Linked DNA regions of Ovis aries. The protein of the gene in region 1 interacts with the protein of each later gene in a pairwise test. Links are inferred from orthologs where the notes say so. Each region holds a gene or a part of one and is shown in the gene's direction. Other genes may lie near its edges.

What was found.
Region 2: the proteins of TK1 (region 1) and tubulin beta-2A chain interact in a two-hybrid assay, tested with the Homo sapiens proteins (2 studies listed by BioGRID and IntAct). The link is inferred for Ovis aries from reciprocal best matches to the Homo sapiens genes TK1 and TUBB2A.

The regions. Positions count from the first base shown.
Region 1 is NC_056064.1:53,319,796-53,323,389, forward strand, and holds the end of TK1 (thymidine kinase, cytosolic), read left to right. Parts: intron 1-1,467; coding exon 1,468-1,557; intron 1,558-1,851; coding exon 1,852-1,971; intron 1,972-2,152; coding exon 2,153-2,356; 3' UTR 2,357-3,092; downstream 3,093-3,594. UniProt on the Homo sapiens protein: Cell-cycle-regulated enzyme of importance in nucleotide metabolism. Catalyzes the first enzymatic step in the salvage pathway converting thymidine into thymidine monophosphate.
Region 2 is NC_056073.1:49,644,180-49,648,120, forward strand, and holds the start of tubulin beta-2A chain, read left to right. Parts: upstream 1-1,140; 5' UTR 1,141-1,212; coding exon 1,213-1,269; intron 1,270-2,707; coding exon 2,708-2,816; intron 2,817-3,132; coding exon 3,133-3,243; intron 3,244-3,923; coding exon 3,924-3,941. UniProt on the Homo sapiens protein: Tubulin is the major constituent of microtubules, a cylinder consisting of laterally associated linear protofilaments composed of alpha- and beta-tubulin heterodimers.

The DNA.
Region 1 (3,594 bases):
GGTTACCAGTGGGCCTTCTGCGATGTTGCAGACAACGTGGGCAGCTCTGACTGTACCTTGGATCATTCAGGAACCCCTGCTGGGCAGCTCTGACTGTACCTCGATCATTCAGGAACCCCTGCTGCAGGCCCTGGGTTCAGTGTTTGGGCAGAGAGTGGGGTGGCATGTGAACAGGGCGCAAAGTTCAGGTGGAAGAACTGAGCTCTCTGACCGCGGGCATCACTGTAGCAGGCAGGGTGGAGGACCCCTCGCGGTCCCCAAACCCTGGTGTGGAGGGACCATGTCTGGACAGGGAAGGTAAGATGAAGAAGGTGCTCCTCCCAGGGTGGTTCTGCTCTCAACCTTCCCCGTGGATTTCTGGCAGTGTCTAGAAACAGTTTTGTTTGTGACAATGGGGGTCGGGTCGGGGCACTGGCCGACAGGTCCTTACAGGCTAGCGGCTGCATTTCTGTGACCTGTGACAAGTCCTTTAGAGAAAAGGAGGGGCCTCACCTAGAGCCAGGCTGGAGCCTAGGGGTGGGAGGTGCCATTTCCATAGTGCAGGCTCGGCAGACCCTGCAAACCCTGCAAACCCTGCAGAGGCCAGTCAGATCTGGCTTTGGTGAATCCTGCTGGAACTGGTTTGGGTTCTCTAAGCCCTGTCCTGGTCCTTGTCTGGGTGAGCCCTCGGGTTTTGTAACTACGCATCTCCACGAGTAGCTTGGAGAGAGACCCTTTGCCCAAACACTGGAACTCCCCACTTCATCCAACCCACAGACCAGATAGATGATTGACCAGTGAAAGGTCACCAAAGGATTTGTTTAAGTAGTGGCCCCTTGGGCCACTTGAAATGAAATTTGATTTACCAAGTAAGGACTTCCCACGGGTGGTGTGTTGAGCCATCCTGCTCTGTAAGTGGCCAGTGGAACTCCTGCCCCTTCTCCAGGCATCACACGGCACATTATGTTTAAAAGAAGAAAAAAATAAAAGCAAACACACAGAGCCTGCCTCTCAGCCAGATAGCATATGTAATAAATTATTTGCGTGTCCTTAATCCTTAAACATCGCCAGGGGCCTTCCTTGCCTTTTCCTGGGCTCAGGAACATGAAGTCATTGCCAGGGTCACAGCTAATGGGTCCAACGGAGAACCTGGTTCAAGCCTGAGGCAGCGGATCCAAGCTTTGGTCCACTGCAGTGGCAGACGGCCTCTCCACCTGGGTTGCATCACCCTGGTGGCAGTTCCAGGCGCCTAGCCTGGAGCGCAGCCTGGCTCTGCTGTGGAAAGTTGGTGCGATGGGGGAGTGAGTCGGGAAGCTGTGGATGTGCAGGCCGTGTACCAGATGGGAGGGCTGGCGCGGCCTTGTTCTCAGCTCCACGTGGATGCAGGTAGCTGTAGCTCCTGGGCCTGGCAGCGTGTCTGCAGCTCCTGGAAGGGGCTGCCCAGGGCGGAAGCTCACTCCCTCCTCCGCCTCTCACCCTTTCCTCTAGTTCCCTGACATTGTGGAGTTCTGCGAGAACATGGCCAACTCAGGGAAGACCGTCATCGTGGCTGCACTGGATGGGACCTTTCAGAGGAAGGTGAAGTGTCTGGTCCAGGTCTTGGGGTGGGACCGGGGACAGAGGCCCAGGCAGCGCACAGAAATGGACAGCCCAGGGCGCCCTTGATGCCCACACCATGCCTAAGCCCAGGCACTCAGGCCAGCCAGTCCCAGCTCCCTGGGGTGCCCCTGACTCCACCTGCCTAGGGCAGGTGCTCTGGGGAAAGGCAAGGTCCAGGCTTAGTTTCCTGGCTTCAGGGGTGTGAGTCAGGGTCTCCAGGAAAAGCCCACCCGGCGAAATGAGTGTGCACTCCTCTTTCTGTGGATTGTACAGGCTTTTGGGACCATCCTGAACCTGGTGCCCCTGGCAGAGAGCGTGGTCAAGCTGACGGCGGTGTGCATGGAGTGCTTCCGAGAGGCCGCCTACACCAAGAGGCTGGGCGTGGAAAAGGAGGTAGCTGCCCCCTGCCTTCTCCAAGGGATGGGCGGGTGGGGGGCAGGGAGGGGCGCCTACACCTAGAGGCTGGGTATGGAGAAGGAAGTAGCCGCCCCCTGCCTTCTCCCAGAGGCGAGGGGTGGGGCGCTGCGCCCCAGCCCCGCTCAGTCCAGGCGCTTCCTGTCGCACCGCACGTCAGGTCGAGGTCATTGGAGGAGCAGACAAGTACCACTCTGTGTGCCGCCTGTGCTACTTCAAGAAGCCCTCGGGTCAGCCCGCCGTGCTGGACAGCGAAGAAAATAAGGAGAACTGCCCGATGACACTGGGAAAGCCCGCGGAGGCCGCGGGAGTCCGGAAGCTGTTTGCCACTCATCAGATCCGGCAGTGCAGCCAGGCCAACTGAGGCACTGGCCCCTCGCTGGGGCGGGCGCTCACCCGCCACCTGCTCCCCCCACTCGCCCGCTGTCGCCCCCTGGCGGATGCCGGGCCTTCTTGGAGGAGGAAGTGGCGGGGGGCGGGGTTGGGGCGGGTAGAGGTTTCACCACCAGCAGTTGGCCTGCTGCTGCGCCCTTTCCCAGGCCAAGGAGGCGGCTGGTGGTCTGCACTGCACACTTCCCTCCTTGCCTGCCCACCAGCTTTTCTCAGTTCCCATCCCGGCTGCGGGGCGGCTGCGGGGCGATCGCAGTCTCCCCAAGCCGGAGCTGGCCGCCCTATGGGGCGGGGTCTGGCCGCTGCAGCCATCCCTCTTGGGGTGAGGCCAAGCCGCAAGCTGCTGTGACATCGGCGTCGCCGGCTTCTTCCCCGTTTGTGGCGTTTGCTGTTGAGTTTCTGTTCTCACTGGGAAGTCCATATCCCAGCACCTCTGGCTCAGCGTGGGCCTCTTCCCACGCAAAGACTTGGTCCCTCTGCCTGGGATGGGCTCCTGGCTGCCCCTGGGGATGGCTGGACTTCTTATTTCCTTTGGGGCTGAAAGCCCTTCCTGATCTGGCGATCATTTTCTCCGGAATTACAGCTTCTCCCATGTGGGTGACACTCACCCTGCTCTGGGGCTCAGCTCCCAGGGGCTTGTTTTCTAAGGAGGTGGGGGCTGTGTGTATGTGGAACTGATAACTAATATTAAAATCTATTGGTTGGTAAAAGCCTATTTCTCTTTTAACTGTCTGGGATTCCCCGGGTCTCACTATAGACACCTCTGACATGATTCAGGTATGGGGATTTCCTTTCAAATCTTTTTCTAGTACTCCTGACCCCTTAACCACAAATCTTTTTAACTGAGATATGAGCATCAAGTGTTCTAACAGGCATGTTTGCCTGCTCTTCTGCCTGGGAGGGTTTCAGGTCAAGATGAGTGGATGCAGGAGCCTGGGGCTTGGTTGGAAAGATGAAGCCTTGGTCTGTGCTGCCAGCTGGGGCTGTGAGGTCAGGTTTTATTTTGTGAAACAGACACTTGACAGTTCAGGAGCCAGGAAGACCAGCTCTGCCGTGCCTTGGGAAACGGGCTGTGGACAGCTTATGGGAAGGTGAGGGTGCTCCAGGGTGGGGTGGGCCTGGGCTGTGTGTTCCAGATGGGGCCCCAGTTCCCCACCCTTACCCCAGCTTCTCCCTCTCACTGGCTTGTGGCAGGTTACAGAGGTGCAGTAC
Region 2 (3,941 bases), on another chromosome or scaffold:
ACACACACACAGACAGACAGACACACACACACACAGACACACACAGAGACACTGACAGACACACACACAGAGACACAAACACACAGACACAGACACACAGACACACACAGACACACACACAGAGACACAGACAGACACACACACAGACACAGACACAGACACACACACAGACACACAGACACACACACACGCAGACACACAGACACACACAGAGACACTGACAGACACACACACAGAGACACACACACACAGACACAGACACACAGACACACACACACAGAGACACAGACACACACACACAGACACACACAGAGACACTGACAGACACACACACACAGACACAGACACAGACACACAGACACACACAGACACAGACACAGACACACACACAGACACAGACAGACAGACAGACACACACACACGCAGACACACAGACACACACAGAGACACAGACACACAGACACAGACACACAGACACACACAGACACACACACAGAGACACAGACAGACACACACACAGACACACAGACACACACACAGACACACACACACACACAGACACACAGACACACACACAGACACACACACAGACACACACAGACACACAGACAGACACACACACAGACACAGACAGACAGACACAGACACACAGAGACACAGACACACACACACACAACGTCAAGCTCCATAAGGAGGCCGTGGGGACACACACAGGGAATTTTCCACATTAAGCGGCCTTGACAGGACAGCCGGCGCCCGGCGGCGGCTTTTCCTAGTTCCTCCCCAGCTGAGCACCTTCCTAACGTGGGCGGGGGCGAAAGGGCCCCCCCAGCAGCCCCGCACCGAGACGGCCATCCTCAGCCCCGGCCGGGGACCCCCACTCCCCCCGCCCTGCACCCCCTCCCGGCGTTTACAGCCGCCGTGATCCCCACCCCGGGAAGAAAGAGCCGGAGGCCGACGGCCCGGACAGGCCCGGGGACGGGAACGCGCCCCACCGGGCCCCCGCGCGCGCCCGGCCGCCCGCACCTCGCGCCGCGCCCCGGCTCCCCCTCGCGGTGCCGCAGTCCCCGCGCCGCCCCCGCCGTGACGTCACAGGGGCGGGGCCCCCGCCTTAAAAGGCGCGGCCCGGGCGGCGGCGGCGGGGTCTGCGCCGAGTCCGCCGGTCCGCACTCCGTCCAGGCCCGCGCCTCCACCCGCTCCGCAGCCGGCACCATGCGCGAGATCGTGCACATCCAGGCGGGCCAGTGCGGCAACCAGATCGGCGCCAAGGTGGGCGCGGGGCCGAGGGGCGGCGGGGCCCGAGGGCGGGGGCCCTGGAGCGACAGAGAGGGGGCGGCGGGTCCCCAGGCTGTGCTTGGGGCCGGAGAGGGGCCGGGGAGGGAGCTGACCCCCGGGGAGGGGGCGGCGGGGCCGGAGGGCGGGGGTCCCGGAGGGACGGAGAAGGGGCGGCGGGTCCCCAGAGAGAAGACCAAGGAGGGGGCGGGGAGGGGGCCGCGGGGCCCGAAGTCTGGGGTCCCGGGGGGCCGGGGAGGGGGCCGCGGGTGGGAGCCCCGGAGGGACAGAGAGGGGGCGGCGGGTCCCCAGGGTGTGGGACCAGGAGGGGGCGGGGAGGGTCGGCAGGGCCCGAGGGCGGGGACCCTGGAGGGACAGAGAGGGGGCGGCGGGTCCCCTGGGTGCGCGCCGGGGCCGCAGCGGGGCCGGGTAGGGAGCTGACCCCCGGGAGGAGCGCGGGCGCAGGGCGGGGCGGGGCCGGGCGCCTCACAGCCCGCACTGATGCTCAGGGCTGCGCAGCTGTGGGTCTTTAATTACGGCCCCGGCCTAAGCCCTTGTGAGGGACGCGGTTGGTACCTCCCCGGTAGATTAGCCTCTGAGATTTGGGTGGGGGCTTTGGTCGTGAAGATCCCGTGGCCCCCTGCGGAATTCATTTTGCGGATATTGTCTGCAGTGCGAATGAAAAAACTGCAGTGTCATTGGGTGACAGATGCTCCGGAGGGTTCTCGTGGGTCCGACAGACGCGGTGCACCATCCAGACGGGGTGGCGGGTGACGCCAGAGTCTGACTGCCGTGGGCGCGGCGGCAGGTGGCCGCCCCGGGCCGAGCCGCCGCAGTGGGCGAGGCCCCGCGGGCCGGGTGCCCGGGTGTGGGCGGGCGCCCGCACAAGGACGTGGTCTCTTTCACAACCGCCATATTGCCCACCCGCCCCCTGCCTTTCCTACTGCAGACGCACGCTGCACCCTGCCCCTCACCCCCCCATTCCGCCTCTGCAGTCAGTGACCCAGGAGCCCGGCGGATGCCCGCGCCTAACGCGGCGCTGCTTGGAGGGCCGGTCAGGTTTGCGCCAGGACACGGCGATCTCTGCAGGCAGCCGCAGGGCGGGGTCCACCTGTCCTGGGTCCTGCCAGGACCCGTCCATCCGCTGGGATGCTGACGCCCAGCCCTGCCTGGGGGCCCAGCCTCCAGAGCATCCGCAGCCGTGCCCCCCTCCTCCTCCAGGGCCCCTCCCTGCTTCCCAGTCTATCTCCCTGACATAGCTGATGCTCTGCGCATCCCCGAGCCCCTCCGCAGAAGCTTGCTGGAGGAACAGGGCGGCAGCTGCTGGCCTGTCTGACCACAGTGCCACTGTTCCAAGGACGGGAGAGGAAGGGAAGGGCCGTCGTGCTGACACCTAGGATGCCAGACCATCACGTGCTTCTTTCTCCATCTCCAGTTTTGGGAAGTCATCAGCGATGAGCATGGCATCGACCCCACTGGCAGTTACCATGGAGACAGTGACTTGCAGCTGGAGAGAATCAACGTGTACTACAACGAGGCTGCTGGTGAGGACTGCCGCAGGCTCAGGCCCCTCTCCCGTTCCGCTCTCTGGCAGCCCCAGTGTAGCAGGAACACACACACAACAAAGGCTTCCTGCGTGCATTTAAATGTCAGCTGCTCAGAACACCCTCAGAGCCCCTGAAGTCCCCTGCATTCGGGTCATGACCGGGCAGGCCCTCACCTCCCTTTGTAGAGCAGAAACCTCCTCTAATCTCTTGCTGGAATTTTCTGGGATGAGCTCTGCCTGGAGAGGCACAGAGAGCAAGGCGTTGCCTGACTGCTCTGCAAGCGCCAGGTCTGAGTCCTGCTCTGTCCCTGCAGGTAACAAGTATGTGCCTCGGGCCATCCTGGTGGACCTGGAGCCGGGCACCATGGACTCCGTCAGGTCTGGACCCTTCGGCCAGATCTTCAGGCCCGACAACTTCGTGTTTGGTATGTAGGGGTGATGTGTGGGCCCTGGCTCAGTGGGCCCCTTTCCTCCTGATGCCATGGGGGTCACTGCTGGGTGCCTGGGGGAGGCTGTGTGTCCACAGAGGCCCCGAGTCCCAGCCTCACTGTTCCTGGTCCATGGGCTGTCAGCTCTCTGGCCCCTGTCCACACAGCTCAAAGGCCAGGGTCAGCCTGCAGAGGCTGCTGCAGCCCTCCCACTGCAGAACAGAACAGAGTGAAGGGAAGCTTCCAGCGGCAGTTCACAGGCCGCCGGTCATTTCGGAGGACCCGTGACAACAGGCATCCTCTTCAAGAAGCCAAAGCCAAAGGCGCAGGTTGTGAGCAGAAGCTGAGCCGGCCCTCTGACACTGGGTGCTTCCACCCTGCCAGCTCACAGCAGTTGATTTATCAATAAGAATTTACAGAAGGTTCTAGTTTTAAACCAGTTGGGTTTTGTTAAACTATCTTCTTAATTAATAACATCTTATGAACTAAATCTTTTGTTGTATTAGATCTTCAGTGTTTCTGAGATCACTGATACATAGAAAACTTTTCTGTAGGTAGACAGTCTTTCTGATAAAGAAGGATCTTTCATCTCTAAAGTTAGTTCAGAGCCAGGAAGACAGAGTTTGGAATTCCTTACTGAAGTGTTGGCGTCTGATACTGTCCTTTCCCTCTGGCAGGCCAGAGCGGTGCCGGGA